2 linked regions of the Coturnix japonica genome follow. Each later gene encodes a partner of the first gene's protein in a complex. Links are inferred from orthologs where the notes say so. Each region holds a gene or a part of one and is shown on either strand. Other genes may lie near its edges.

Region 1 (3,647 bases):
AAGCTTCTGGTCTAGAGTGATCCAAGGCTGCAGGAGTTCAAGAACAGACTCCGGAGATCCCTCCTTGTTACAAGCAAGATGTAACCCAAACATCCCCACCACTACAGCTGCCTTTGGAAACCCACAGATGAACCTTTAGGTTCAGTCAAAGCGAGAAATACAAGTAAAGAAGTGCAACAGGACACTGAGAATTTCCAGGTCCTTACAAACGAGCAGTTGGGTAAGAGACAAATTCCCAGGTAGCAGTGAGAGTCACTATCGAGTCAGTCCTGTACACTAAGTAGGGTCACACTGGTGTGAAACTGAACGCCTGGAAGCTGCCGGGATGTTCCCTCTCTCAGAACAGTGCAGTGCTCACAATACTCAGGATGTCCTCCCCTTATCCTGCATTAGAAATGGTAGCTCCATCTCCAGATGCCAAATCCCATTTTCTTCAGAACTAATATCCCAGAAGATTGAACATAAGAGAGACAGCACAGCAAACTGCAGTTTCTCAACCTAGTAAGTTCTCCCAACTTCTTACAGAACAAAAACCCCATGTGTTACACAGGCCTGGTGTTTTCATTTAGCTTTGAAAATGAGTTTGTGGACTAACATTCACATTTCTAGAGCATTAAGTACCATTAAGAAAGAGGATCACAGAGGATGAGCTGACTTGCTTTAGCCATAAGAATTTAACTGCAAGCCTGACTCCTTCCCTGCCTGCCTGCAATCACACTGTGGTGGTATCTGAACCTTCCAACAACTCTGAGTAATACATTTATCCCTCTACTGAGGCAGAAAGATTCTAACTGTACTTCTGAATCACATTTCTCACTTCACTTTTATCTGTTCTAAGGAAAGCAGGAAGGAGCTCCAGCTGAAAAACCCAAGCACCTCAAAAACATGAGTGTGCCAGATGTCAGACCTCAGGCAAAGAACTGTAGCAGCTGGAAAACACCACGCAGCCATTTACTGCTTCTGTGCAGCACTGGCTGTTACTCCAGATCAACTCCTGTGTCACTCTCCTTTAGAACTAACACACTGGGATAAGTGAAGTATTTAAAGAGCAGTGAATTCACTCTTTCAGTTATCTAGAAAGAATCAGGGAGCTCAGAATCAGGGAATCCTGAAAGCAGGCATTGTTACAGCTGCTCTATGAACTGCTCTACGATTGACTGCCATCGCCGCAGACTTACTGAGCCCCTTCCAGCCCGGCTGCACATCGGGGGTGATGCTCTCGAGTTCTCGCTGAAACTCCTCTCTTGCCGTAGCCACAAGTTCATGATACTGAGCCACGATCTTGGCCTCAGACTGTGCTGCCTGAACCTGTAACAAACAAAAAAGGAGACTGGCTTATCTTCCAAGGAGACTGAAGTCATCTGAGATCAAACCTGAGTTAGTGGCAGAGATCTTTATCCTCACTTGGGGAAAAGCTGCCCTGTGACATCAAGCCTCTTATACACAGTAATTATTTACCCCAACTACACAGATCCACTTCTTCACACGCACACTGTAATACTGTAGTCAATCTGTAGCTCAGAAAAAACCAACACAATATGTTCCTTTAGAGATATCCAGCTCTACACCTTCATTACAGAATGTTTTCTACCATCAGAGCAGCATGCAGCCATCACAGCCCCAGCAGGGAGCTGCCCAACCCTCACTGCGTTCTGTACTCCCACACTTCAGAGAAATTCCCCACTGAAATTCCTCCATCAGAGCAATCCATTATCCTGCAAAAGGGCATGATTTCAACTTTACTTTTCATCCTGTTTTCTGAGCCATAAAGTGATATACCCACAAAGTCATCAGCAGACTCCTCCCCAACCTGATGAATATTATAGGTGTGCCCCAGATCCAAAGAAACAAGTTTCAAGGTTAAAAAGTAATCTCAGCAATCCAACCCTATGTCTCCCATGCCCTGCACAAGAGCCACCACCAGAACAACTGGATACACTCAGTGAGAGGACACTACGCCAATCAGCACCCTGAATAGTTTGTCTCATCTTCCTAATTCCACTCCAGCATCAGACAGAAGGAACTGCAAGTCCAGCATCAGACAGAAGGAACTGCAAGTCCAGCATCAGAAAGAAGGAAATGAAAGCTGCCCAAGGAAAGAGCAGACACTGAACAAACTGGCTGCAGAGTTCCAAGACAGAGTTCAGGCTTTTCATGCAAAGTCCTTGTCAAGACAACTCACTGGTACCACACACAGCTCAAAGACTGACTATAGCTGAAAATTGTGTTTAGAAATAGCATTTAAACTAAGAAATACTTGATCTGCTATAAAGGACGTGGAAAAAGGGGGTCTCACAAGCTGCCAATCAGTCCTTGTTCTAATGATGATGAAGAACAGCTGGAAGTGTTACCTTCTTCACTACATTGTCCAAGTCAACTATCATATGATGAAGATTTTCCTCTGCAGCAATGATGTGAGGTTTGGCTCCTGGGATCTGAGCCTTCTTGGCATTCTCAATTACACCTTTTGTCTTCTCCAACTCTTCTCTGAAAAGAAATGAAGCTGTTGATTATAACACATACAGGTCTTACTGCATAACCACATACATGCATGAGCACACATCTAATAAATAGCCAGCCTTAGGAGTGGCTCTGCTGAAGAATGGAACCAACAAACAGTGCTGTAAGACTTAATTTTACATCACAGCTAGGAGAAGCCAACGATGTTATTGACTCAACAGACCCAGAGTGCAGCAAATTGAATTCTTACAATAGGCATAATAATGATCAAATGATCCAAAATGATATTAGAAGGATTATGGGTTATTGTTTTCTTCAGTCTTACTTGAACTAAGGAGCACTGTATTTAAGTATGGGTAGGAGATACAAAGAACTCACTTGGCTTTCAGAAGGACATCAGCAGCTTCATCCACTGCCCTCCTTCGATCTTTCAGAGCCTCCTCCAGAGTGCGCCACTGAGCTGATTTCTTCTCCCCAGCAGTCTGACAAGCACAGATCGATCATTAGTGTTATCACAATGCCCACGGTACAAAATTACCCATCAGATAATAACAACACAGCTGGAAGCTCTTAAGAATTTCTTCTTTCTATCGTTTTTGTTGTGGTTTTGAACCTTGACATTGTGATTGACCACTCCATTATACCCTCTGCAACAGAAAGCAGCAGTCCTACACAAAGTGGGACATGTCAAAAGCAGAAGCACTTTATTATTAAACCCTACAACGTTTCCCAAGTGGGAAGATCAGGTAAAACTGTGACAAACATTAAACCTCAGACTTTATCCTTAGTTACACGATGAACACAAGTCCCCAGCTGCCCAATTTACCTCCGAGTTGTCCATTGCCTCCTTCAGTATTTGCAAGTGCGCATTCACTGCTTGCACAGCAGATTCCTGTGCAGTAATTGCCTGCAGTGTTACACGAGCCGTAGAGCTCAGGGCTCCTTCCAGTGTTGCTGCAAGGGCTGGAAAGAAAATACTGGAATTAACTGCAGCCTCATCATTGAAGTGATTCATTATATCTCAAGTGTCTCCTTACGTTATTTTCTGTGGCTCACAAGAGGTTGGGAACAATCCTTTTGTCCCTTACAGCATGTGTAGCAGAACTCCAGGTATGGGCTCACCTGCGATCTTCTCTTGCTCCTCTTTGTCCTGCTGGGCAAGACGAGCCGCGACCTCGTCCGGCGAT
Region 2 (3,124 bases), on another chromosome or scaffold:
ATTTCCTTTCAGGGTGAGTCCCTTGCATTTAAGTGAGAATTTTAGGGGATTATCAGTTACACAATTTGTTACTGAAATGTCAAGGGATGACAGAATATTCCTGTGCTTCATTGGAGAGAACCAACCCCAAACCATCTGCCCCACTTTGCAGGCGAGGAGGGTTCATGCAAGGAGGGAACCAAAGTCAGCTGATGCACGGAGGGGGGATGCAAGGGGAGGGATTTGCCGGCCAGGAGCGAGCGAGCCGACCCAACGACCCTCGCTTCAACCGTCGCTACTGAATGTTTTAATTTCTAACGCTACGTGGCAACTGCAGTTGGTTTGTCCCTGGGGTGTCCGGCCCTTGGAGCTCGTGGGTCACTGTAAGTGGAATTTCTTTTTTAAGCTGCTGCCATACGACGTCACTCGATCCAATGTGAACTCATTTGTTTTGTAACGTGTTGTTCATATCCTCATTTAAAACTGTTTGTTAATGAAGCATTCCATTTTCCATAAATAAAAAAAAAAACAGTTTACAGTTCACGGCTGCAGTCGTCTCTGAGGCACCTACTGCTATGAAGGCATGGAGCAATGGGGGCTATTTGTCAAAACCAACCCCAATGAAACCAGAACTTCAAAGTCTTTTATTGCAGCCCTTGTGGCTGAGCTGTGGGAGCAGCACGGGACGGACAGAATGAGAGCGGGACAGAGGATGTGCTCAGCTCACTTGACGAGATCCTTGAGGTAGTTCCAGCCCTGAGCCGTGTATTCACACGCTCTGCTGGGAGCCACCGACAGGGCAGACATCAGCGTGTGCACCCCTGTAAGGGACATGGACAGTCAGCACAGCACAGCAGCAATGGAGGCACATGGCAGGTTGATTTGTGGCACCAACCCCAACCCCGGCCAGTGTGTGGTTCTATGACAAGCTGCAGCACTGGCCCCTTCCCACAAATAATGAAATGGGATTTTACCTTTATTCCAGGAATCCGAGGGGGAGAAATCCAAGGTTGGAACGGGTGGGAGCTGCAGAGAGAAAGAAAGAAAGAAAGAAAGAAGGGCAGCAATGGGGGGCAGGGGGATCACGGAGCCCAAAGGGGTTTGGTGCTACATCAATGAGCATCAATGAGAATCAATGAGAGTCAATGGGCATCAGTGAGCTCTGGGCTCTGAGCTGCAGTAAAAGCAGAGGGGAAATACGTGACAGCTTATAATAGGATCCGATATGGAAAAGCTGCTGGTTCCTTCAGGGTCTCCCTGTCACTGTGGGTCCAAACAGACCCGATGCTGCTCCTTATCCCCCCCTTATCTCCCCCCTTATCTCCCCTTATCTCCCTTATCTCCCTCTCACCTCCCATCCCACGTGTCCGCTCCATTCTCTCACCGCAGCCGGTAGCGCTTCCCGGGCCCGTTTTAAGGCCTCTGCCCCCTCGGTCCCGCTGCCCAGCAGCCCCTGATCGTACGACACGTACACGGCGGCTCCGGCCAGGCCTCCCTTGATGGCGAACCTGCAGGGACCAAAGCAGTGACTCGGTTCGGTTCGGTCCCGCCGTTACGTCCCTCCCATCCCGGGTCTGACCGCGGTCACTGACCGGATGAGCGGCGCGATGCGGGCGGCCATGACGGCACCAAGGGCAGCGCCGCGAGGGCCGCCGGGAGCCTCACGTGACCGGAAGAGTGGAGAACCACTTCCTTCTCAACCGTTACCACGGCAACGAGCGCACGTAGGAAGCTGCGGCCGCCGCCATCTTGGGGTGAGGGGTCGGGGCGGGCAGTGAGGGGGCTGGGGGCCGCAGGGCGGGGAGTGGGGGCCGCACCCGCTGAACGTGGCGCTGTGAGCGGCGACATGATGGGAGATGAGCGAGATAACGGGGTGATGAGGCCTGACCCGGTCCGACACCTTCCCGTTGTGGGGGGGCAGCCCGTTCTATCGCCTCCATCCCGCCCCGTTCCGCTCGGACTCCCCCCGTCCCCCATCACTGATCCCGTTCCGTTCCGTTCCCGCAGCTCGTTCCCGTCCCGCCCCGTCCCGTCCCGCACACGATGGTTCCCATCACGAAGCTGTTTTGTGCCGCGGGGCTCCTGGCTGCGCTGCTGTGTTTGCGCTGCAGGGACGACCCGTTCCACGCAGGTATCACGGTCCGACACTCGGTAACGGCCGCTCAGTCACACGCAGCCCCCGCTGTGAGCGCGGCCACAACCGGCCCCGGCTGCAGCAGCGGCTCCATCCGCCCCCACCCGCCGCTTCGTGCCCCGTTTCCCCGCACACTTGTGTCCGTGTGTCCGTCTGTGTGTCTGTATCTGTGTCCGTGTGTCCCGTTCTCAGAGCTCCTTTCCGGTGCCCGCGTGCTTCTGACCGGAGCCAGCGCCGGGATCGGGGAGCAGTTGGCTTATCGCTATGCGGCCTATGGGGCTCAGATGGTGCTGACCGCCAGGAGGGAGGCGGCGCTGCGGGAGGTGAGGGAGGAGGGAACAGAACGGCGGGGACTCGGGCTTTGGGCTTCGGGCTTTTGTGGCTGTTTTGTGCTGCCATCCCCTGCACTGACCCCATGTGGGTTCCCCTGTGCTGGGTTCCCCCGTTGCTGTCGCCCAGCAGCGCTGTTGCAGCGCGTGTTTCTCCCACCAGGGGGCAGCACCGCAGCCCGATGTTGCTCCTTATCGCTGCTCCTCCCCCCCACCTCACATTGAGCCATTGGCACAGCGCTGTTTTCGCAGGTGATGGAGAAATGTCTGACCCTCGGAGCAAAGAAAGTCTTCTACCTCCCAGCTGACATGTCTTCACCTTCAGAGCCCGACAGGGTGGTTCAGTTCGCTGTCCAAAAACTGGGTAAGCGGGACAAGAATGGCAGCACAGCCAAATATCTGCTGTATTTACCCCTGTATTTACTGACTGCTGTCTGTGCCCGCAGGAGGGCTGGACTACCTCGTGCTGAACCATATCGGCACTTCCCCGTTTGAGATGTGGGGCGGGGATGTGGAGCACAGCCGCTGGCTCATGCAGGTGAGGATTCCCAGCAGTTCTTGTGATTCTGCTGCTCCTGGGACAACCTGGAGGGGCTCGAAGGCAGATTCAGAGCTCTGCCTGCAGCCGAGGGCAACCGTGTGTGTGTTTCTAGGCTGATACTTTGGAGCCTCCCCTACTCAC

What was found.
Region 2: IMMT (region 1) and MICOS13 share a complex: the UniProt entries of both Homo sapiens proteins name them as parts of the mitochondrial contact site and cristae organizing system (MICOS) complex. The link is inferred for Coturnix japonica from reciprocal best matches to the Homo sapiens genes IMMT and MICOS13.

The regions. Positions count from the first base shown.
Region 1 is NC_029519.1:77,504,755-77,508,401, forward strand, and holds part of IMMT (MICOS complex subunit MIC60), read right to left. Parts: coding exon 3,583-3,647; intron 3,424-3,582; coding exon 3,287-3,423; intron 2,943-3,286; coding exon 2,839-2,942; intron 2,488-2,838; coding exon 2,352-2,487; intron 1,309-2,351; coding exon 1,179-1,308; intron 1-1,178. UniProt on the Homo sapiens protein: Component of the MICOS complex, a large protein complex of the mitochondrial inner membrane that plays crucial roles in the maintenance of crista junctions, inner membrane architecture, and formation of contact sites to the outer membrane.
Region 2 is NC_029543.1:715,196-718,319, reverse strand, and holds MICOS13 (MICOS complex subunit MIC13), read right to left. Parts: upstream 1,679-3,124; 5' UTR 1,601-1,678; coding exon 1,572-1,600; intron 1,488-1,571; coding exon 1,331-1,487; intron 1,006-1,330; coding exon 954-1,005; intron 801-953; coding exon 703-800; 3' UTR 603-702; downstream 1-602. Other genes in the region: scaffold attachment factor B1-like, read left to right, coding at 152-281; HSD11B1L (hydroxysteroid 11-beta-dehydrogenase 1-like protein), read left to right, coding at 2,023-2,110, 2,306-2,436, 2,695-2,806, 2,889-2,980. UniProt on the Homo sapiens protein: Component of the MICOS complex, a large protein complex of the mitochondrial inner membrane that plays crucial roles in the maintenance of crista junctions, inner membrane architecture, and formation of contact sites to the outer membrane.